4 linked regions of the Sus scrofa genome follow. The protein of the gene in region 1 purifies or fractionates together with the protein of each later gene. This does not show direct contact. Links are inferred from orthologs where the notes say so. Each region holds a gene or a part of one and is shown in the gene's direction. Other genes may lie near its edges. The genes, in order: SRSF3, LARP1, NCBP3 and SRRM1.

Region 1 (6,490 bases):
TAGTAACTATGAAGCTTTGGGTTTGATCCCTGGCCTTGATGAGTGTGTTGGGGATCCAGTGTCACCATAAGCTGTGGTGTAGGTAGCAGATGAGGCCTGGATCCGGCATTGCTGTGGCCGTGGTATAGGCTGGCAGCTGTAGCTCCATTCGACCCCTAGCCTGGGAACTTCTATATGCTGTGAGTGCAGGCCTAAAAACCAAAAAAAAAAAAAAAAAAAAAAAAAAAAAGATACATGCTGGATTAGCATTACACACACAAACAAACAAACAGGAAAAATGGTGGTAAAGAATGGGATACTGATATGTGAAAAGAACATTTGGGAGTTTCCATTGTGGCTCAGCTGAAACGAATCTGATTATTATCCATGAGGACAAGGGTTCGATCCCTGGCCTCACTCAGTGGGTTAAGGATCGGGTGTTGCCATGAGCTGTGGTGTAGGTCGCAGATACAGTTCGGACTGGAGTTGTTGTGGCTGTTGTGTAGGCTGGCAGTTACAGGTCAGATTCAACCCCTAGCCTGAGAACGTCAATGTGCCACAGGTGCAGCCCTTAAAAAAAAAAAAAAAAAAAAAAAAAAGAACATTTAAAAAGAGCATTTTCGAGCAAGGGTTGTGCCAGCTTATTTATCTGCATTATTTATTTTAATTAATTAGATAATTAAACAAATATGTATTGATCATCTGCTCTCTGCCAGACTTGTTTTCAGGCCCTGGGGAGGCGGAGTGAGCAACAACAGTCCAAAGGTGAAGTTCCTGGAGTTCCCACTGTGGCTCAGTGGTTAACGAATCCAACTAGGAACCACGAGGTTGTAGGTTTGATCCCTGGCCTTGCTCGGTGGGTTAAGGATCCAGTGTTGCCATGAGCTGTGGTGTAGGTGGCAAACACAGCTCGGATCCCATGTTGCTGTGGCTCTGGCGAAGGCCAGCAGCCTACAGCTCTGATTAGACCCCTAGCCTGGGACCCTCCCTATGCCACAAGTGCAGCCCTAGAAAATACAAAAAGACAAACAAAGTTGAAGTTCCTGTAAGTGGGGAGACTGCATGTAACAACCCTGCAAGGCTTGGTGTAGTTACCCATTTTACAGAGAGGAAACTAATATTGAGATGGTAAGGGATATTTCTCCAGACACTTTAGCAGTAAGTAGCAGCAGTACTGTGGGTCCAAATATAGGACTGTCTGACTTCAATGGCTTTGCTTTGATAGAAGGAAATAAAAAGAGGAGAAAAGCTTACACAGGAAGAGAGGAGCAAATCAAAGCAAATAGAAGTAAGCCAGAATAGAAAAACATTTAGAGAAGGAAAGAAGAGGAAGAGAAAAGCTTTGCTAGAATTCCTACCTGGGAAAAACCCAGGTAAGACCAGCTCAGGGCTTGGCTCAACAAATGTAGTTTCCATTCTCCCTCTTCCCTTGCCAGTATGAAATCCTCGTTTTTTACAGGTGTGAAAACTCAGAAACAGTAAGTCGTGTCTCCACCCCACATGGATAGATAAACTTCTTAGAGCCACAATAAGAGAATATCTGGGAAAAGGAAAGCAGTGAATGTTTGGCATATCTTTCAGCTACTGGTGGAAAAATACAAGTTATTATTTTTCTTGAGAGCAGATTTAGATACGTTAGTAAGTCAGACTCCACTGAAAGGGGAGGAAACCAGGCAACCCTCTTAGCTGAACTCACTGTTCCAGAGAGGAAGATCTTGGTGATTTTTCTAACAAACCATTGGTATTTCTCTCCCAATAGTTAATTTCGTGGCTCAGTTCTTTTCAGAGGAAGTGGAAAGCAGAGAGGAAGGTGTTAGTGAACCATAGACCCCCCACCTCTGAGCCCCGGTCAGTACAACAGCCTTTGCCAGAAGACAGACTGGTATTCGTTGCGGAGGAGAGGGGTGCCGAATTCAATCTCCTCAGGAACTTCCTTTTATACTGTTACTAAATGCGATACTTTCTGGATGGCCTGACCCGTCTCATTTGCCTTTGAGTTTCTATTAAACATTTCAAGAGTCCAAAATGATGACGCCATCGTCTCTGCCAAATCGTGCAGTTTGGGTGAGAGGTGGCAGACCAGCCAGAGTTGGGCCGACTTTCCGTGACTGGGCTTTTCCCCAAGTGTGGGACCCGGAGGGGCACAGTGTGGTGACAGCGGGTTCACAAACAGCCCCGTGACCTTGGGAGCAACTCCGAAGCACGTTTGTAAACGTGATGGTCTCAGTTCCTGCCTAACCGCTCATGCGGAGCAGTAATTAATGAACTCATTTTATACTGTAATCTTATTGGGTGCAAAAGGCTCTATCAGTGTTTGGGTGTGACCGGCGATGATGTTATTAAATCCCTATTAATAGGCTATTTGGAGATGAGGGAGAGGTGACTGAGGAGAACTCGGCAACAGGAGAATTACACCGAGGGAGCTCTGGCCCTGAGGCACGACGGCTGCGCGCGTCTCCACCGACGAGGCAGCACAACCAGAGAAGGCTCTCAGCAACCGCGGTTCTCGCAGCGTTTGTGGCCATTACGTCACGGTCTTCTTCGCCTCTCATTGGGCGAACCCGTCCAATCATGTGACTCCAGGATGGCTTATAAATACAGGCGAGGAGACGGTGTTGGTCCGCCATTTCGTGGACGCCGGATCGGGGAGAGTATCTGCTGGAGCCAGGCGGGAGGGGAGTGGGAAGAGACAGCCGCGGGTGCGTGGATTTGAGTCTTCGCATTTCTAATCTAAGATCTCGGTAAGAGACCCAGCGACTAAAGGAATGAGGTGGGAAATGGGCCTTAACAGGACCGAGGTGGGGCCAGGCCCAATGGCGGCGCCAGATTGAGACAAAGAGACGCTGCCGCCATTTTGTGACGTTCAACACGGGGCGGTGGAGGGGGCTCCCGGCCCCCCGGAGCAGGCACCCAGGCTTCCAAGTGGAGGTGCTTATAACCCTTCCCTGGGGGGCTGAATCGGGAAGTGAGATTGCTCGAGTTGAGGCAAAGGGGGTATCGGTAATCGGTTGTACTCTAGATCGCGGCCATTCAATTTATGGCGCCTTTTTTTTCTTTTTGCCCACGTTTCCTTAAGTAGCGGCTTAGGATTTTTTTTCTTCAAGTCACTACTCAAGACTGGACCCTTCGATCCATATTTGAGGATTTCTCTACTTTCTTTCATTTTCGTGTTACTTTAACTTCACTTTTTACAGCCTGAATCCAATAACTATTTTTTTTTAAGCTGATCTTTCTTGAGCTGTATTGTTCTTATAGCTGCTTCGCATTAAAACTGGTCAGGGTAAAGTTTTTGGGAAAGATTAATTCACCAACAATGGGTTTGGTCTCGGAACTTCTGGGCACAGGGCGGGGTCACACAAATAGGATGTGTCTGGGCGGGTATTTTTTTTTTTTTTAATTGGATAACGTGTTTATGAAAAGCCCTTAAGCTGAGTTTTTGGACAGGCTGCTTTTCGTATGTAATCTACAAGTTGATTAGATTCGTTGCTGAGGCGGCTTTATTAGTATTGAAGGTTTTTCAAATGTAAACTAAAGTGCCTTAAGTTCTTGCACAACAAATAATCTATTTTTTTCCCCATGAGGTGGAGTTAATGTAACATTCATTTTAAAGTGCACGATTCAGAAGCATTCGATACCTTCACAATGTTGTGTAACTATCACCTCTATCTAGTTTTAAAGCATTTTATTATACCCACTAAGGTGACCTGTACTGTTAAGCAGCCACTACCCTTTTGGCCTGCCCCTTTCTCTCCCGCAGCCCCTGGTAGCTACTAATCTGTCTCTGGATTTACCCGTTTCGGATATTTCACATACATGGGATGGTATTACGTGTATTTTTTTTGTCTGATATCTATAACTTAGCATGCTTTCACGTTTTGTCCATGTTTATGGGTACTCGTTCCTGAATACTCCATTGTATGGGTAATAATTTTGCTTCTCCATTTTGTTGCTGGACATTTGGGTTAACACCTTTCGGCTGTTGAGGGTAGAACAAGATATATATTTTTAAAAAACAAGTTTGTCCTGCTTGAGTAAAGTTTTGGCTTGTGAAGGCACATTACTATCACTTTTTTAGTGGTTTAGCCTTAACTGCTGTCTTGTCTTCACTTGTCATTTTGTTTTGTAGTCTCCAGGTTTTGCTTTTAATCCTACTTTTCAAAGTTGTTCCTCCCCCCCCTTCAGATAACTGAAATAGGTTTAAGTCTCTCAGTTCCCATTTTGTGGCATATGCTCCCCTACTGTTTCCTCCCTCCACTTCTCTGGGAGGTGATTTTTTTTTTTATTTTCTTACACAGCTTGGCTTCCAGGTGGTTATTGGCAACGATTGGGGTGTTTCAAGGGTAGTGCCTTTACCTTTTTTCGGTTTTTGAATTCTTTCCTAAGGATCTGTTTTTTACTGTGTGGGTTATGATATTTTGGATTTTTTTTTTTTTTTTTGTTACAGAAATGCATCGTGATTCCTGTCCATTGGACTGTAAAGTTTATGTAGGTAATCTGGGAAACAATGGTAACAAGACTGAATTGGAACGAGCTTTTGGCTATTATGGACCACTCCGAAGTGTATGGGTTGCTAGAAATCCTCCTGGCTTTGCTTTTGTTGAATTTGAAGATCCCCGAGATGCAGCTGATGCTGTCCGAGAGCTAGATGGGAGGTAATTTGTTAATTTTTGCTAATAATATGTTGTTTGTCCTTTTAATATTTAAAATCTCTAGGATAAGAGGTTTTTAGATGGCTTTGTGGAGATTTACATAAATTTTTTTTTTTCTGGCCAAAAAAGGACAACGGTTTTAGTGACGATACGTAGGGAGAGTTTATTCAGTTTGCCATTGAAGAAAAGAATTTTATTTGCAGTTGGCGGGTGGAGAGCAGCATCCAAAATATGACTGAAATATTTTAATCTAAATCCACTATAAATAGTCATGTTGTAAACTTTGAAATCTAAAATTGTGGAATCAGACATTCCCTTATGGTCACATCCTGATTGATTGTAGCTGGATGATGGTTACATGGGTTTATTGTACCATTATCTTTACATGATAACACTTTTTTTTAGGAAGTGTGGGTGTTATTTCCCTATGCTTTTAGTGTCTTGTTGACTGGCTAAGTAACACCTGAGGTTAGTTGGGTGTTTTGTTTTGTTTTTTGGTTTTTTTTGTTTGTTTTTTCTGTGCTAGTGGCTTGTGGATGTTCCCAGGTTCTGGGATCAAATGTGACAGTGCTGCATTCTATTTTTTTTTTTCTATTACTCAGTGAACTTATTACATTTTTAGTTGTACGATGATCATCACAATCCAATTTTATAGGATTTCCATCCCCCAACCCCCCCAAACTGTCTCCAGTGCTGCATTTTTAACTTGCTGAGCCACCGGGGAACTCAAATAACACCTGAGTCTTAAAGTGAACTAGTGTTGCCCTTTATCCTGGCATTTGCAAACCACTGGATTTCATGAAATCAAGGAAAACTTTGATCCTTAAGATGGAAAACTGAAAGGATCTGAGAGTTGGCTGTAAAGCTATATGAAAGGTCACTTAACTAAGCAAATTGCAGAAACTGGTTGAGAGCCCCACCTCTTCCCAGTGTCTGTCCAAATGTGGCTTATCTAAACTTAATGGTTGTGGACCAATGAAGAGGTGGGAGATAACTTTCTTACTGTTCTCACTTGCAATTTCTTGTCAACTATTGTGTGATGATTGAGTGGAGAGGGTTGTATTAAATAAATGGCCAGAATGCTTCTGTCCTGTTTACTGCTCTTTACTTGGAGGTATGAAGAGAAAGGAGACCAACAAATATAGTAAGGTTGGTAAACAATTGCTGGGACCTCAAAGGAAGTAGTCACACCAGCATGTACAGATGAACTAATTCTTTGAGAATGGATCCAGGGATTTTCACACTTAATATTGTCACTGTGATCATTGAACCCAATGATCACACTGACTAACAAAGCAATAAAATGTAAGGAAGGTGTTTTTTACCAGAAAAAAATATAGAAACTAAACCTTGTTTTGGTGTTAAGAATTCTATGAGCATTCAGATGTTTCTTACACAGAAACTAGCTATAAATGAATGTTGGGGTTTTTTTCCCGCTTTAATGTGTATCTTTTAATCAATCCGGCTGCTTTAAATTTAATGTTTCTTCCCTCTTAGAACGCTGTGTGGCTGCCGAGTAAGAGTGGAACTCTCTAATGGTGAAAAGAGAAGTAGAAATCGTGGCCCACCTCCTTCTTGGGGTCGTCGCCCTCGAGATGATTATCGGAGAAGGAGTCCTCCACCTCGCCGCAGGTACTTAGAGAGAGCGTGTTTAGAGGTATTGGTGTAATGGAGTAGCTGATAGGAACAGGTATTCTCTTAAAGTTTGTTGGTGGGTTTTAAACTTTGAAGAATCAGAGGTTTTTATGAAACATTTGCTGGGCGTAGCTTGGGGTATGTGAGTTGTGCTGAGTGTTGGCTTTTGTCTTAGGTCACTGTTCATGTTGGTAGTCAGTAACTTCTATCTTGGATCTATCTTCTAG
Region 2 (5,924 bases), on another chromosome or scaffold:
ACCTCACTTTTATCCTTCCTTGTTTTAGTACCTAACTCTAAAGATATAGATGTGTTAAAAAAAAATATATCACCACATATTTGGTCAGTTGCAAATGCATCCTACTTGTAAAAAAAAAAAATTCTGTTAGTAGTTTCTGAGACTCAGGATCCAGGTAAGACCAATATATTATTGTTTTATTAAGTCTCCATCCCTCTCCTTCCTTTCCCTCAGAGTTTATTATTTGAATATGCTCAATTGTATGTATTTCAGAATTTTCTGTAGGACACAGGGTAACAATTTTCACATGTTCTTCTGTACTCCTGGTTTTCTGTCGATTGGTGGTGGAGAAGCCCAATCACATTCCAGCTTTTTGGGTTTTTTCCCTTCTCCTTGGTCAAGAATGCTTGTTAGGTGGTGATAGATTCTCAGGTGGCACATAGTGCTTCACTTCATTCTCTCTTTTGCCATATAAGCTGCTATTGACAATCACTGCCTATTAATTTCATTAGAGACCAGAAAATAAATGGTTGTATTGTATCGGTCTGTCTTGTTAGCCGGAATACCTCTTTAAGGAGGTGCTTTGCCTTATCAAGTGTTGGGTTCCAAGAGGTGTATAGTTTGTTCAGGAAGGGCGTACAGGTGCCTGATCTTTCCCTTTATTATGGAGTCAGTTTTCAGAATTAGGAGCAGATCCCTAATAACTTTCAAAAGTAATCAGTGAAGGGAGTTCCCATTGTGACTCAGCAGTAATCAACCTGACTAGTATCCATGAGGACTCAGGTTTGCTCTCTGGTCCTGCTCAGTGGGTTAAGGCTTCAGTGTTGCTGTGAGCTGTGGTGTAGGCTGGTGGCCACAGCTCCAATTTATGACCCCTAGCCTGGGAACTTCCGTATGCCACAGGTGTGACTCTAAGCAGACCCCCCCCAAAAAAAGTGATCAGTGAGGTTTGAGTTCTCTTTTTTTGTTTAACTTAGTATCATCACAAACTGGTAGATTCAAACATTTTGTTTATTTCAATTTGTTGCAGTTACTATGCCGAATCAAATTGTCCCATTCTTTGGCCAGTGGGACCCTGGTTTGTATTTCCTGCCCCAGATCTAGAATTGGCTATTTTTTTCAAGGAACTCTTGGTCCTCTATTTGGGGAAATGGTATTTAAGGTATTTAGATACCTCAGTCTGAGTTATAGAGGTGTTTATTGCTACTTGATTGGTCACTGTTTCTAGAGCTTTTTTTTTTTTTTTTTTTTTAATAAAATCCAACATGAGATCATACTGATATCTTCCATTAAAAGCAAGGGGTATAGGGTCTTTACTTAACCCCAAGGATTTTTTATTTGTAACTGCTGCTTTCTCCCATGGCAAAAATCCCAATTCTTAACGGCATCTACATAGCTATGTGTTTGTTTTTTTACTCTATGGTTTATACACATTATACTTAAAAATAGTCTCCTGCTCATAAAAAGGTTTCTAATTTATACAGTCAATGACTGTATTTTCAAGTTATTTAAAATAATTTGAAATGTTTTATGTGGTTGTGTCTTTAACTTAATAATGTGTATTAGTTTCATTAGTTTTGTTTTGCTCTCAAGATTATGGGGATTGCTTTCTTACTGCTAATTCCTAATTTTGTTTTACCTTTATGTAAAACATTTACATAGGTCCAAAGTCAACATGGTGTGTTCATAGAATTCTGATTTAAAATTCTCTCACTTGTACCTTTTCCCTTTTATTTCTCCACATAAGCAACTTTCTTTTGAATCCTTCCATTTAAAAAAAAAGGAAATGCCTCTGTGTGTCCCCTCTCTTTGATAAACGGTGATGTGGCACGAGTATTTCTTTACCTGTTCTTTCTTGCTTTCACCTAACATATCTGGGGCTTAGAGCATAGTAATAGTAGTAACTGGAAGATATTCCTCATTCCTATTTACAGGTGTACATATATCTATTCCTGTTTACAGGTGTATATATATCTTTTTGTGTTCTAGTTAGTTTATCTTTGTGTTTTTTTGGGGGGAGGGGTATTTTGGATTTTTATTTTATTTTATTTGGTTTTTTTTTTATTTATAATGATTTTTATTTTTTCCATTACAGCTGGTTCACAGTGTTCTGTCAGTTTTCTACTGTACAGCATGGTGACCCAGTTGCACATACATGGATACATTCTTTTTTCTCCCATTGTCATGCTCCATCATAAGTGACTAGACATTGTTTCCAGTGCTACACAGCAGGATCTCATTTAGCTAGTTTAACTTTGGTGTAGATTTCTAGAAGTAGAATGGCTCAACTAAGGGGTCAGTGCATGTAATTGTGCCAGCTATTGCCTGATTCCCTTACTCGTAGGTGTGCCTTTTGCATTCTTCTCAGAAAGAGTGCCTCTTTCTCCAGCCTCACCCGTTGCAGTATGTTTGTTCCATGTTGAAATGTTTTCCTCTTCCTGGCTGTCAGATTTTTAAAAGGAAACTCTCCTCTCTCCTTTTTTTCACCCTGCTTTCCAGAGATAACACACATAGCAGTTTACCTGTGAATCCTAGAAAAATTTGAGTGCATTTCTATGTTTTTACTTAAAAATCCAAACACCAATGGGGGTTGTTTTTGTTTGTTTTTCGTTTTTGTCTTTTTTCTAGGGCCGCACCCATGGCGTATGGAGGTTCCCAGGCTAGGGGTCTAATCAGAGCTGTTGCTGTCGGCCTACACCACAGCCACAGCAATATCAGATTTGAGCCACCTCTGCGACCTACACCACAGCTCACAGCAATGCTGGATCCCTAACCCACTGAGCGAGTCCAGGAATCTAACCTGCACCCTCATGGTTCCTAGTCAGATTTGTTACTGCTGTGCCACAACAGGAACTCCCAGACACCAATAGGATCTTAAACTCACTGACCTAGTCCTACTTTTTCATGGTCTTTACCACCTCAGCACATTTGAAGCTGATTTTTTTTTTTTCTTTTTTTTTTTTTTTTTTTTTTCTTTTTAGGGCCACACCTGTGGCATATGGAGGTTCCCAGGCCAGGGATCCAATCAGAGCTGCAGCTGCCGGTCTCTGCCACAGCCACAGCAATGCAGGATCCGAGCCGCATCTGCAGCCTACACCACAGCTCACAGCAACATGAGATGCTTAACCCACTGAGCGATGCCAGGGATCGAACCCTCGACTTCATGGATGCTAGTTGGATTTGTTTCCGCTTTGCCACAACGGGTACTCCTGAAGCTGATTTTTTTAAGCTTGAGTAGTGTTCCATTCAATGATGTGCCGTCATTGGTTTAAATTATCTAAGTGGTGGTGAGTTTGTTTGTTTGTTTTTGCTTTTGAGAGCTATATGTGTGGCATATGGAAGTTCCCAGGCTAGGGGTCCGGTTGGAGCTGCAGCTGCCAACCTACACCACAGCCACAGCAACATGGAATCCAGGCTGCATCTGCAGCTCAAGGCAACGCCAGATCCTTAACACACTGAGCGATGCCAGGAATCAAACACACATCCTCATGGATACTAGTAGGATTCTTAACCGCAGCAGGAACTCCAATTTAGTTTTTTTTGTTTACATTGTTGCTGTGAATAGCTTTCTATCCAAATCTTATACATGTTGTCACCTGTCGTGCAAGTATTTCTCTGGGGACAGTTCCTAGAAGTAGAATGGCAGGGTAAAAGGACAGGTGTGTTTTTCATGTTCATACCTTCCTACAAGTTTGAGCGTCTCACTTGTTCACTGTCATGGGAAAGGGTGCCAGTTTTCTTAGACTCCTGCACTGGCCTCATACTCCTGCTTTTCTTACATCTCCTAAGCTCAGGGGGCCCAGTCATCAACCACCTTAGAGGATCTCAGTCTGTCGATGTCTTTCGTCTGCATCCTCTCTCTCCTCCTCGGCAGGCACTAAAGGACAGCAAGGTGGTGGAGATCGTTGAAGAGAAAGTCCGCAGGAGGGAGGAGCCAGAGAAGTGGCCTCTTCCTGGTCCCCCAATAGTGGATTATTCCCAGACTGATTTCTCCCAGCTTCTCAATTGCCCAGAGTTTGTGCCACGCCAGCACTACCAGAAGGAGACAGGTAGGTACCTGCTGGCATGTGGATGTCTCCCTGTTGCCCTCATCCTTCCACCAGCAGTCCCTCAGGGCTGGCCTCAGGAGGACTGGCGGGATGAGGACCACCCCTTTCCGCCCTTCAGAGTCGGCGCCCGGCTCTCCCCGTGCAGTCACCCCAGTGCCAACCAAAACAGAGGAGGTCAGCAACCTAAAGACACTGCCCAAGGGCCTGTCTGCCAGCCTTCCAGACCTGGATTCTGAGAATTGGATTGAAGTCAAGAAAAGACCTCGGCCCTCCCCTGCACGACTGAAGGTGAGCGAAGCCTGTCCCCTGGCCTGGAGCTTGGGGGCGGGGGTGTCGCATAGGCACAGAGCTCTGGGCTCTGAAGGGCTAACAGGCAGGCTGGGTGCCTCAGGGTTGTAATGCGAGCTGAGGTCACCAGTGACTTCAGGAAGGCTGATACGGTGAGTTTGCATTTCCAGTGGGGACTACCCCATAGGGCAGTCTTAGCTCTGAGTTCCTGGGTGGTGGTTTTCACAGAGGGAGATCTTGTAGCTTCTGGCAGCCGTGTCTCATTAAGTGCTGAGTGGTTCTGAATACTTGGTTCTTTTACCCTATTTAAGTCCCTGGGGCTACGTTTTGATTGCTTTCTCCCTGTATTTGTTCTTAGTGTCGGCAAATAAGCCCCTCAGACCCTCTGAAGAGGGAAGGGAGAGGGAGCAGATACATGGTGTGACTAGATTTGAGTCTAGAGTAGAATACAGGTTTCCTGCCACTGCTGGCTGGTGGTGACCTTGGGAAGTTTCTTTAACATTTCAAGGCTTTAGGAGTTCCTGTCGTGGCTCAGCAGCAACGAACCTGACCAGTGTCCGTGAGGACATGGGTTCAGTCCCTGGCCTTGCTCAGTGGGTTAAGGATCCGGGGTTGCCATGAACTGTGGTGTAGGTCACAAACGTGGCTTGGATCCCATGTGGCTGTGATGTAGACCAGCAGCTGTAGCTCCAATTTGACCCCTAACCTGGCAACTTCCGTATGGCACAGGTGCAACCCTAAGAAGACAAAGGGATAATCATATCTCAGGGCTTCATTTTCTCCATCTTCAGATGAAAGAAAAGAGGGATTAGACTGCTCTGGGAATAGTGAAGCTATATATGAATAGTTGACATTTAGTCTCCTTTTAGAGAGCTCTTTGAATCTCAAACTAAGATTACTGCCCCTTTCCTAGGAGCAGACTTTTGCTCCATCCACCTTCCCATTCGCATCCCTTCTTTGGAGACCTCTTTGATCTGGGCCTTGTGAGGAGGCCTTTGGGTCTGGGGTCCTCTCTTTTCCATTGTACCGCTATGACCGCTTCCCTCATCTCCTTCCTCCTCCTGCCTTCGCACCCTGACTGGCTGGTCTATTCTGGCTGCGATCCTTCAAACAGTCTTAGAGATTAGTCTGGAATTATGAGGCGAAGGGTAGTTAAGTGGACAAGGACCTTACAAGGTTCAGGCCTGTAGACCACGAAGGCTTTGGAAAGGCAAGAGCCGCACTTAGCCCCCATTCCAGAATCAGACCCCTCACTCCCACCTAAGGTTCCCATCTTGAACCTTAAAGGAGAATAGGTTTGGAGTTTATACAAAGCTTTTTGCACAAGCAGGGACTCGACACAGTGTATCTCTTTAAGATACACTGTGAGGTAGACAGATGTTTTACCGCAGAAGTCTTAGATAAATTCCACTTGTCCACACTCTGAACTACTTTTGTTTGACTGAAAGCAACGTTATTTTCTCTTGCCTTTTGGACATGATGTTTTTTCTGCCTGGCATAGTCTTTGTCCCTGCCTTCGTCTGGTTTCCTTTCACAGTCTTTTCTTCCAAGAAGCCTTCCCTGACTGTTTCACCTCACCCCTAGTTGGTTAAGTGCCCCTTCCTATGT
Region 3 (5,924 bases), on another chromosome or scaffold:
TAAAGAGGTGGGTCCAACTGCATAGACGTGGGGCTCCATTTTCAGGGCTTTGGACTTTGTCATTGCAGTTGCCATACAGCTCTCTAGAGGGCTGTCTCTGACCTTGAGCTCAACCAGAACCCTCTTGACACTGTGCCAGACCTTTCACCTCTGCTTGCTTGTTGTATTTGTTTGTTTGTTTTAAGGACTGCACCCGTGGCATGTGGAAGTTCCCAGGCTAGGGTTGAGTCCGAGCTGCAGCCGCTGGCCTTTGCCACAGCCACAGCAATGCCAGATCCTTATAACCCAGATCGAACCTGCATCCTCATGGATACTAGTCACATTCTTAACCCACTGAGCCACAGCGGGAACTCTACCTCTGCTTGCTTTGAATCATGTTTTCTGGCACTTCATCTGCTTTGCCTTAATCTGTGAGCTGTTCCACTTGTGAGCTAACTGTACTTTTTAACTTGCTTCCCACTCCAAGTCTGGCTTGACCTCTGGTAACCAAACTGCTGGCTTCTTATCTTTTTTTTTTTTTTTCTACACCCATGGCATACAAAAATTCCTGGGCCAGGGTCTGAACCCGAGCCACAGCAGTGACAACACGGAGTCCCTAACTGCTGGGCCACCAGGAAACTCTGCCACTGGCTTCTTGTCTTAATTCACTTCTAGTCTGGCTTTAATTACTGCCAGCTTGCTGACCTGGTTTTCCTGGCTGCTTTCTTTAGATGTTATTTCAGTGTTTTCACTGAAAGAAGAAGAAATATGACTAAGTAAAAGGTTTTTCTCCTTTTTTTTTTTTTTTCGGTTCTAACTTAGACCGTCCAAAGCAGGGGTTGGAAAACCTTTTTTGTAAGGGCTGGATAATATTTTAGGCCTTGCAGGCCATACAGGCTCTATGGAGTGTACCCAGCTCTGCTATTATAGCATGATAGCAGCCATAGGCAGTATAATTGAATGAACCTGGCTGTTTTCTATACAAACATGTGGTGGGTGTGTAGTTTTTTGTACATTAATTATAACTAAATAAAGCTGTAAATAAAACATGTAAATAGCTGGGTGGTGGATGAATGAATGAATGAATAAACAGGTGGTGGGCTGCATTTGCTAACCCCTGATTTAACAGAACTATAACTAAGGAATGTTTGAGTCAGAGGGACCCTTAGAATCATCCAGTTCAGCTACCTCCTGCTGTACATCAGAAACTGCGAAACAGAGGGAAGTTATTTGCTTAAGACCATGTGGCATATTATTCACAAGAATGAGAATCCTTAGACCTTCATTTCCCAAACTGAGACAGGGATAACAGAGACATCAGTTTGAGAAATACTGCTTTAGAGTTAAACTTCTCAAAACCTTTTCCTTGATAAATTCACTTAAAGAAGCAAATTAAATTGGTTGCTGCAAAGCCAAGTGGCTGTCACACCTCCATGGTGTGTATGCCAATGGTGCCATTGTCACTTGACAGTAGGGGGACATCATTTACTATGTCTGGATGACAAGTAGCAGCAGAGGGCTTCCATGTGGGGGCAGAAGAATAAAGGATAATCCAAATTTATTTGACAGCATCATCGTCATCATTAAGGACGGCGAACATTATGTGTGACACTCCCTCTTCTGCCAGGCAGTCTTAATATACAGAACCCTTGTCCATGGAAGTCTAGACCTTTCTGTTGAGTCCAGTGTGTGAAGGCAACGCTAGGCTAATTTTATCAAAGCTTTTACTGCCATGTTCTGTGCTTCCTCTTATGAGTTGATTTTATATTTACTGATGCCACTTTGAGGCTACTGGAGACCATAGCAGTGAACATGATGTAGTCTCTGTTCTTAAGAAACTCCTTGTTTGGATGGGATGTAACGTGTTATTTTACATCTTATTTTAGGTAATGTCGTTTGGTTGGATGAAATGACGGCCGCAAGAGCCCTTATCAATATGAGTTCTCTGCCGGCCCTGGATAAGATAAGAAGCAGGGATGCCAGTGAGGACAAGTCATCTGAGAAAAGTAAAAAAGGTGACTGGCCACAAAGGAGGGACTTTGGGGCTGAAAGTCCTATTCTTTTTTTTGTTTGTTTGTTTTTTGTTTTGTCTTTTTGCTATTCCTTGGGCCGCTCCCGCGGCATATGGAGGTTCCCAGGCTAGGGGTCGAATCGGAGCTGTAGCCACCGGCCTACGCCAGAGCCACAGCAACTAGGGACCCGAGCCACGTCTGCAACCTATACCACAGCTCACGGCAACGCCGCATTGTTAACCCACTGAGCAAGGGCAGGGACCAAACCTGCAACCTCATGGTTCCTAGTCGGATTCGTTAACCACTGCGCCACGACGGGAACTCCTGAAAGTCCTATTCTTTACAGGTTGAATTTCTGTGCAAAGTGTCACCTAGCATCTCATGGCCAGTTTTTTCTGAAGTCAACTATGATGCTTTGGATCATTCATAAAGAGGAGGAGAAAATAGTAGACTTTTAACATACACGAGATAGAGTTATGTTAAGGTTCATCTTGTCCCTCGCGTTCCATTTTATTTTTGAAATTTTTTAATTTTGTTAAGGTTTTTATTTATCGTATTCGACTGACAATGTTGTGTCTGTTTCCGCTGCCCGGCCTTCCGTTTAGACAAGCAGGAAGACAGTTCAGACGATGACGAGGCTGAAGAAGGAGAAGTTGAGGATGAGAACTCCAGTGATGCAGAGGTCAGTAAGGGGGTGAAGGTGTCCAGAGCTTTCGCTGTAGACAGCTGCTTCCTGTCTTGCTGGTGAGCCTTAACGACGTGCTGCCACGTGTTCTTCCTCTGGCTTTCACCTCAGACCTCCTGAGGGGGCACCAGGCTCTTGGCCTTTCAGTTCGTGTGGCTGTAGTGAGCGATTGATCTTGATGTCTTAGACGAGTACTCCACTGCTCTATTAAAGGAAATGATTGTCTTGAGAAATAGCTTGAAGTGGGGTTTTGGTTTTTGTTTTTTTCTTTTTAGGGCCGCCCTCGTGGCGTATGGAAGTTCCCAGGCCAGGGGTCGAATCGGAGCTGCCAGCTGCCAGCCTACAACCACAGCCACACACGATCTGAGCCGTGTCTGTTGGATCCTTAACCCACTGAGTGAGGCCAGGCATCGACCTGCACCCTCGTGGACCCTAGTCGGGTTCATCACTGCCGAGCCACCACAGGAACTCCTGAAGTGTTATTCAATCAGTAACATTAAGGAAGAGCGAGTAATGGGATATTTCTTAATGGAGTATGTACTGTTGTTGGAAATGTTAAAGTGTATTCATTTAAAAATTATTTATTGAGTGCCTACTATATACCAAATTCTAGGTGCTGGGGATATAGCGTCAAGCAAACAAAGTCCCTGCCCTGTCGGAGCCTACATTCTAGTGGGGAAGACAGACAGTACACAGATACGCAGATATGTAATGTAATGTCAGGAAGGATGAGTGCTGTGAAGAAAAGTAAAGAAGGGTAAGCGGCTAGAGGACGATGGAGACGACTCTCTTAGACAGGTGGTCGAGGAAGCCCTCTGACTTAGACATCCTGCAGCCGAACTGGCGCTCTCTTGCTGATGGGTGCTTTTAAAGACAGACTGCTTTCTTAACCACTGGTACCTTTGCTACTGAGTAAATTTGAATAAGCCTTTAATTTTTGTATTGAAAATGCTCTTTTTCCTTAAGTTGGACACATTGTCTCAGGTAGAAGAAGAGTCTCTGCTAAGGAATGATCTTCGCCCAGCTAACAAACTTGCTAAAGGAAATCGGTTATTCATGAGATTTGCGACGAAAGGTAAATGTGATAACTGGTAGTGATTTTTATTTTTAACCAAATGATTTTTATCAAGTGACACCTTCTCTCTCTTTTGAATCGAAAGTTCAATCAAGTGGTCTCAAAGGTCCTTCAGACTGTAATCTTTCTGTGCTCGTAAAATTGTTGGCTTGCTGCACGAGTTGGCATTTCAGACATTGAAAGTGAATATTAGTCATTTGTGTACTTTAGTTATTTCTGGCTAAGGTAGATTATTTTCTATTAAAGCCAGTATGCCCCCCTCTGCTTTTCAGCCAATTTATCATCTGAACTATGAAAAAATTTTTAAATTATATTTTATGTATCATAGCAATATCTTCTTGGACATTGCTACTAGTGCCATTCAACTCTAATTCTCTAAGGAATTAAAAACCTCTTAACAATTCATAAGGCTTTTTATGCACAGTGATTTGGTGTACATTTATAGTGTGTGTGTTTTGAATCAATTGAGAGTTAATTGGAGATGACAGCCCTTCACCCCTGAATATTTCAATATACATTTCTGAAGAACAAAGACTTTGTCTCACACACAGTTGTCAAAATGAGAAAAAAAATTTTTGGTGCTTTTTAGGGCCACACCTGCTGCATATGGAGGTTCCCAGGCTAGGGATCCAGTCAGAGCTATAGCTGCTGGCCTGTGGCACAGCAGTGCCCATCTGAGATGTATCTGCAACCTACACCATAACTTGAGGCAATGCCTGATCCTTAACCCATTGAGCGAGGCCAGGGATCAGACCTCCATCCTCATGGATACTAGTCAGATTTGCTACCGCTGAGCCACAGAGGAAACTCCAAAATCAGGAAACTTAACATTAATACACTACTGTTACGTGATCTGTAGTCCACATTCATATTTTACCACTTCCTGTAATTCCCCACCTCTGAATATGAAAACTGCCTGGCATGTAGTGAGTGCTACGTAAGTGATAGCAGTTCTTGACGATGGTGATGATGGTGAATACATTTGGATTATTCCTGTTTTATTTTTACAGCCACACCTGTGGCATATGGAAGTTCCTGGGCCAGGGGTCGAATCTGAAAGCATCTGGGACTTAGACCACAGCTGCGGGAGCACTGGATCCAAGCCACATCTGCAACCTATGGTGCAGCTTGTGGCAACACCAGATCCTTAACCCACTGAGCAAGACCAGGGATCAAACCCATACCCTCACAAAGATAACATCAGGTCCTTAAACTGCTGAGCCACAACAGGAACTCTTGCACTATTCTTTACACTGCTCCCCACTGTACTAAGATCTACTCCAGGACTGACGGGGTATGAAGTCCGCCATGTCTCCTTAGCCTCCCTGAATGTGGAACCGCTCTAAGGAATTAAAAGCCTCTTAACAATTCATAAGGCTTTTGTTTGGTACTCTGTTTTGTTTTCCTTGACTGAGACATTTTTCGAAGAGGGTAGGCTCATTATTTTATAGGCTGCCCTTTAGTTTCAGTTTGTCTGATGTCTCCTCCTGATAATTATCGTGTTGTGCATCTTAGGCAGGCATACCACAGAAGTGAGGTTGTGTCGTTTTCAGTGCTTCCTATTAGGAGGCACATCTATTTATTTGTCCCACTCCTGGGGGTGTTAACGATTGCCAGGGTTCTCCACTGTAAAGTTACTCTTTTTCAACTTAGAATTCAAAGATTTTATGGGGAGTTGCTTTGCGACTATGTAAATAGCCTCTTGCTCATCAAACTTCCATGTAATAGCTTTAGCGTCCATTGATGACTTCTGAACTCTCATTTATTTGTTGGCAGTGTGGTGAGGAAGAGCTTTCCCGTTTTACCCATTTATTTATGTATTTAGCTATTTATATCAGTTTAGATTCATGGGTTTTTATTTTTATTTAAAAAATTTTTTTTGGCTGCATCCGTGGCACATGAAAGTTCCTGGCCAGGGATCAATCCCCCACCACAGCAGCAACCCAAACCACTGCAGTAACAATGCCAGATCCTTAACCCACTGCACCACATGGTAACTTCTTGTGGATTTTTATTTTATTCTGCGAGTTATGATCTGTTGTGTCGTTTTGATTCACAAATTATATTGGATTTGGCCAGTAGAGCCCCTTTAATCTGTGTTCTTTTGACATGCCTGTGTGATTCTTTGAGCACTTCCTTGCTTGGTGGCACAATGAAACATCTTGCTTCTCCA
Region 4 (5,924 bases), on another chromosome or scaffold:
CTTTCTCTACAGGGGACTTGGCGATTCCAAACCCCCAAGGTTCCAAGAAGAAACTGAAGACACCTGGAATCTGTACTTGCTTTGTGCTATTGAGCTGTGCTTGTTATACGGACCTTGTTGCTTGACCAACAGATTTAGCATTTAAAAACCCAGTTATTTTTGAGAAGTCTTGACCTCTTAGCCCTTTGTGGACAGTTGAGAATTTGAAGCATTGTTATAATAGGTTATCCTTATATAGAAGTCAGGCTTTCAGCTTAGTCTTCAAAAGTTAAAGAGTGCATGCATAACTTGTTAGTTTTGATAACTGGACAGTAGATATTTTGTAGAAAGTTATCTACAGTGTTAGAAAAGTGAACAGTTTGTGTACTTTTCCATTTCTCATTGAGGGAAAATTTCCAGACAGGCAAACACTTGTTAGCAGACACAAGAATTTGTGGATATTCCATGATGGTTTTTAAAGTTAATAAATGTAAGGCCCACTAACAGCCACATAGTCTAAAAATACTTATGAAATCCACAAAGGATTAACAGGCTGCTCTGATAGCTTTTGGTAGAGTGAGAGAGAATTTGGTAATCTGTGCTAGTGATTATATTGCTGAGAAACTACTAGAAAAAGCTATTTTTAAAATAGTAAAGAATATATATATATATATCTCTAAGCCCCTATGATAGACTTAAAAAATACTAATTGAAATGAGCTTTAGGTTGATTGATTGGTTTGTTTTGGAGTAACCTGTTTCTCTTCCTGTCATGTCTTTTTGCAGAATCCAGATTCCAAAATGATGCAAATCAACCTGACTGGGTTTTTGAATGGAAAAAATGCTAGAGAATTTATGGGAGAACTGTGGCCCCTGCTCTTAAGTGCACAGGAAAACATCGCTGGAATCCCTTCTGCTTTCCTAGAACTGAAGAAAGAAGAAATAAAACAGAGACAGGTAATAGCCTTTTCCTTTTTGTAATGTTTTATTTGAGAGAGCAGTATCCAGACTGTTAAGATGTTTAAAATTTTACATGTCCTGGCTAGGCTTAATAGCCTTTTCTTTTGTGTGTGTGTGTGTGTGTCTTACTAGGAATCAAAAAAAAAAAAAAAAAAACCAAACAAACAAAGAAAAGGAGTTCCCATCATGGCGCATCTGAAATGAATCCAACTAGGAACCATGAGGTTGCGGATTCGATCCCTGGCCTCAGAGGGATCAGAGGCTACAGCTCAGATTAGACGCCTAGTCTAGGAACCTCCATATGCTGCAGATGTGACCCTAGAAAATACAAAAAAGAAAAAAACTTACTAGGGTTGCACTTGCGGCATATGGAGGTTCCCAGGCTCCGGGTCCAATCAGAGCTGTAGCTGCCAGCCTATTCCACAGCCACAGCAGTGCAGGATCCGAGCTATGTCTGCGACCTACACCACAGTTTATGGCAACACCGGATCCTTAACCCACTGAGCGAAGCCAAGGATCGAACTCCACAACCTCATGGTTCCTCATCGTTTCCATTGCACCACGATGGGAACTCCGAAAACAGCCATTTTCTTTAGTTAAGCCATTCAGTATTAATTTTCAGCAAGTATTTGAATTATTCATTACTAGTTCTAAAGTTTACCTTTAGCGGGGATGAAGAAAGAACGGTCTTGTTGAAAGCAGAGGCTGATGAAACGACAAATAGTATTGGTGTTTATCCAATGTGCAGTCAGTTTTCCGTTTGCTTGTTGATTGTAAATGTTCGATTGTGTTTTACTTTGAAAATCTGATCTTTACAGATTGAACAAGAAAAGTTAGCATCTATGAAAAAGCAAGATGAAGACAAGGATAAGAGGGATAAAGAAGAAAAAGAGAGCAGCAGAGAAAAAAGGGAGAGATCTCGAAGCCCAAGAAGGTACAGGACAATCTGCATACATACCTAATATTTTATGAGTATGTTAGAGTATTCTCTATGCAGAAAGTTACACAGCTAAAAAAGGAGCTGGAGGAGTTCCCGTCGTGGCGCAGTGGTTAACGAATCCGACTAGGAACCATGAGGTTGCGGGTTCGGTCCCTGCCCTTGCTCAGTGGGTTAACGATCCGGCGTTGCTGTGAGCTGTGGTGTAGGTTGCAGACGCGGCTCAGATCCCGAGTTGCTGTGGCTCTGGCGTAGGCCGGTGGTTACAGCTCCGATTGGACCCCTAGCCTGGGAACCTCCATATGCCGCGGGAGTGGCCCAAGAAATAGCAACAACAACAACAAGACAAAAGACAAAAGACAAAAAAAAAAAAAGGAGCTGGAGTTCCCGTTGTGGCTCAGTGGTTAACGCATCTAACCATGAGGTTGCGGGTTCGATCCCTGGCCTTGCTCTGTGGGTTAAGGATCCGGCGTTGCCGTGAGCTGTGGTGTAGGTTGCAGACGAGGCTCGTATCCCAAGTTGCTGTGGCTCTGGCGTGGGCTGGCGGCTACAGCTCCGATTAGACCCCCAACCCCGGGAACCTCCATGTGCTGCAGGAGTGGCCCTAGAAAAGGCAAAAAGACAAAAAAATAATTAAAAAAGGAGCTAATAGCACTGTTCAGGAAATTTCTTCTATCATACAATTTTCATGGTGAGCTATTGCTTGCCTCTGGGCCAAAATACTTCATCTTTTGAGACAGATCATCATTTGACTGTAATAATTATCTCTTAAATCTTGGTGAATCAGTCAACCCTTAATTCTTAAATCAGAATGTAGACTTCTCATTCATATTGCTTTACTTTAAATTATTTTGAGTTATTATTTTTTCCATTGATTCAAAGTTTTATTACTCTTTATGTCTTGTTCTCTTTTGTATTTAAAGTTCAGTTGATTTACAGTGTTGTGCCAATCTCTACTGCAGAGTTATTTAATGTATTCCAGTTCTTTCTTCTCCATTTTTAAATTAGAAATCTATGCCCATTAGTTCTTTATATTATACTTACCTGATTCTGTTTTCTTTTCTTTTCTTTTTTTTTGCTTTTTGGGCTGCACCTGTGGCATATGGACGTTCCCAGGCTGGGAGTCCAATCAGAACTACAGCTGCTGGCCTATGCCACAGCCACAGCAACGCCAGAGCTGAGCTGCATCTGCACCCTACACCACAGCTCACAGCAGGATCCTTAGCCCACTGAGCTAGGCCAGGGATTGAACCTGCATCCTCATGGATCCTAGTTGCATTCATTAACCGCTGAGCCAAGAAGGGAACTCTTGTTTTGCTTTTCTTAGGTGATTGTTCTGAACCCAAAACAGGTCATTTGCTTTCTTCCTTCCACTGAGACTGGTTAGCCCCCCCACCTTTTTTTTTTTTGTCTGCACTGTATGTGGAAGTTCCTGGGCCAGGGACCAGACCTGCTCCACAGCAGTGACAAGGGGGGATCTTTAACTCCTAGGTCACAAGGGAACTCCCAAGTTTCCCATTATAAAATCCATGATTCAAGAGTTGTGGTGTAGTGGGTTGCGGATCCAGCATTGTCACTGCAGTGGCTGGGGTTGCTGCTATGGTGCAGGTTTGATCTCTGGCCTGGGAACTTGCACATGCTGAGGGCATGGCCAATAAGTAGAATAAGTAAGTAAATAAATAAAATCCATGATTTGGCTTCTGTAGTTGTGATGAAGGGTGAGAATTCCATTAGACATTTCATTTTTAGAGTTCTGCTAATTTTAATTTCTTCATAAATCTGCCAGAATTAGTAAAGGGAGAAAGTAATTTTTCTTCGTCCCCTTCATTTATAGATTTGATATTAAAAGCTGCTTATCAGGAGTCCTTCTCAGTGGCTCTGCGGTAATGAACCCGACTAGTATCCATGAGGATGCAGGTTCGATCCCTGGCTTCGCTCAGTGGGTTAAAGGATCTGGCGTTGCCGTGAGCTGTGGTGTAGGTCACAGATGAGGTTTGGATCTGGTATTATTGTGGCTGTGGTATAAGGCCAGCAGCTGTAACTCTGATTCCCACCCCTAGCCAAGGAACTTCCATATGCTGAGGGTACGGCCCTGAGAAGAACCCCCCCCCCAAAAAAAAGCTGCTTATCAGAGAAGCAGTATTATTCCTAGAGTTACGCACAAATCATGGTAACTATTTGACTATTGATGGATCAGGTCTGCTGTTTTACTTCAGGTTAGGGAAACTACTGTTGAAATGGAAAGGCTTCTCTTTCAAAAAAGCTGTCTTAGCCAAGTTTGAAATGCTTCTTTTCGGAAGAACATATTGCTTTAGTTGCAGCAGATGTTATCCTAGAATACTTGGACTCTACCTGATGAACTCTGATGGGATCTGTCTGCATCCAATTTCTGTTTTGTTGGGTTTAATTTCATTATATTTCCTTCCTTTTAAGCACCCTCTTCCTCTGAAAAGTTGCTCTTTGCTTTCTTCATTTCTGGAAGTGATTAAGAACCTAAATCTAGAATCCTTAGTATGTTGTAACTGGTATATTTCGGAGAATATTATAATCTTCATTTGCTTGTTTTTCTGGTTTTCTCTTGGCCTTTTTCCTCTTAAGTAAATGTGATAGGATATCTTATTTCCATAGGGAACTTCTCAGATATAAACAACAGTAGTGTAATTAAAAAGATTAATCTCACTTCTTTTGACCCTCTTCCCCAGTCCACATTATTCAAAAAACCTGAAAAAAATTGCTTTCATCCTAGACGCAAATCCAGATCTCCTTCCCCTAGAAGACGATCTTCCCCTGTCAGGAGAGAGAGAAAGCGCAGTCATTCTCGATCTCCCCGTCACAGAACCAAGAGCCGGAGTCCTTCCCCTGCTCCAGAGAAGAAGGAAAAAACTCCGGAGCTCCCAGAGCCATCAGTGAAAGTGAAAGAACCTTCAGTACAAGAGGCCACTTCTACTAGGCAAGTACATAATAAATGTCTGCAGTTTTAGGCTGTTATTCGGTGAGTGTAAATAGGTGTACCTCTGAGTTAGAAATGTAAGCTTACTAATTTTCTTTTTAGGTTATTTAAATTACAAAGTTAGATTGTTGAGAAATTTAAATTGTATAGGAGAGTATAAGTAAAATGCCCCCAAGATGACCACTGCTATCTGCTGTTTTTTTAATTTCCAATATTATATACTGTAACCTGCCCCCGTCCCAATATTATGGACAACTTTGCAGTTTTAAGAAATGGATGTGGTTAGAATTGTTGGTTGTTCACTGAATTTTACTGATGTGTATATATCTTTCTAGACATCTTCATGAATTTTGAAAACCAAAGAAAGATAAACTTTTTGTATCATTGTATTATGACTTGGGATTCTGAGAAGAGGGGGAAAGTAAGCTTTTTTTCCCCCCACAGTGACATCCTGAAAGTTCCCAAGCCTGAACCTGTACCAGAGCCTAAAGAACCTTCTCCAGAGAAGAATTCCAAAAAGGAAAAGGAAAAGGAGAAGACCAGACCAAGATCTCGGTCACGTTCCAAGTCAAGATCCCGGACACGTTCTCGCTCTCCTTCTCATACTCGACCTAGAAGGCGCCATAGATCCCGATCAAGGTGGGTAATGGCTGTAATATCTGCCTAGATCTTAAATTTTATGTGCTAACTCTCCTAGATAGAATTGGGTAAATTATTTCAAAGCAGTAGAAAAATTTTGCACAAATGTTAAACTTTGAATTTAGAGAGAATTTGAGGGCACTTTGTATGGTCTGTAAAAATCTACACACTCATATCCCTTGAAAACCGTTTTTTGGATGTAGTTGTCAAGAAAACTATGTCAAGGTGTTTGTTCTTGCTCAAGATTTATTCAGATTCTAATTCTGTTTGTTATGGTAGATCATACTCCCCTAGAAGGCGGCCAAGCCCAAGAAGACGGCCATCTCCTCGAAGAAGAACTCCACCGAGACGAATGCCTCCTCCACCAAGGCATAGAAGGAGTAGATCTCCAGTGAGACGGTGAGAGGTGGTTTTTTGTTTTGGAAGTGACCATATATTTGTTTTAGGCTAATCTTTGAAT

What was found.
Region 2: the proteins of SRSF3 (region 1) and LARP1 purify together in Homo sapiens (co-immunoprecipitation; 3 studies listed by BioGRID and IntAct, with this or other methods). This does not show direct contact. The link is inferred for Sus scrofa from reciprocal best matches to the Homo sapiens genes SRSF3 and LARP1.
Region 3: the proteins of SRSF3 (region 1) and NCBP3 purify together in Homo sapiens (co-immunoprecipitation; 3 studies listed by BioGRID and IntAct, with this or other methods). This does not show direct contact. The link is inferred for Sus scrofa from reciprocal best matches to the Homo sapiens genes SRSF3 and NCBP3.
Region 4: the proteins of SRSF3 (region 1) and SRRM1 purify together in Homo sapiens (affinity purification with mass spectrometry; 3 studies listed by BioGRID and IntAct, with this or other methods). This does not show direct contact. The link is inferred for Sus scrofa from reciprocal best matches to the Homo sapiens genes SRSF3 and SRRM1.

Annotation. Positions count from the first base shown.
Region 1 is NC_010449.5:32,286,881-32,293,370, forward strand, and holds the start of SRSF3 (serine/arginine-rich splicing factor 3), read left to right. Parts: upstream 1-2,583; 5' UTR 2,584-2,720; intron 2,721-4,423; 5' UTR 4,424-4,425; coding exon 4,426-4,631; intron 4,632-6,125; coding exon 6,126-6,260; intron 6,261-6,490. UniProt on the Homo sapiens protein: Splicing factor, which binds the consensus motif 5'-C[ACU][AU]C[ACU][AC]C-3' within pre-mRNA and promotes specific exons inclusion during alternative splicing.
Region 2 is NC_010458.4:68,404,975-68,410,898, reverse strand, and holds part of LARP1 (la-related protein 1), read left to right. Parts: intron 1-3,853; coding exon 3,854-4,028; intron 4,029-4,146; coding exon 4,147-4,316; intron 4,317-5,924. UniProt on the Homo sapiens protein: RNA-binding protein that regulates the translation of specific target mRNA species downstream of the mTORC1 complex, in function of growth signals and nutrient availability.
Region 3 is NC_010454.4:49,896,771-49,902,694, reverse strand, and holds part of NCBP3 (nuclear cap-binding protein subunit 3), read left to right. Parts: intron 1-1,865; coding exon 1,866-1,994; intron 1,995-2,596; coding exon 2,597-2,673; intron 2,674-3,642; coding exon 3,643-3,751; intron 3,752-5,924. UniProt on the Homo sapiens protein: Associates with NCBP1/CBP80 to form an alternative cap-binding complex (CBC) which plays a key role in mRNA export. NCBP3 serves as adapter protein linking the capped RNAs (m7GpppG-capped RNA) to NCBP1/CBP80.
Region 4 is NC_010448.4:82,314,065-82,319,988, forward strand, and holds part of SRRM1 (serine/arginine repetitive matrix protein 1), read left to right. Parts: exon of another isoform or gene 1-764; coding exon 765-935; intron 936-1,756; coding exon 1,757-1,872; intron 1,873-4,621; coding exon 4,622-4,825; intron 4,826-5,269; coding exon 5,270-5,464; intron 5,465-5,743; coding exon 5,744-5,863; intron 5,864-5,924. UniProt on the Homo sapiens protein: Part of pre- and post-splicing multiprotein mRNP complexes. As a component of the minor spliceosome, involved in the splicing of U12-type introns in pre-mRNAs. Involved in numerous pre-mRNA processing events.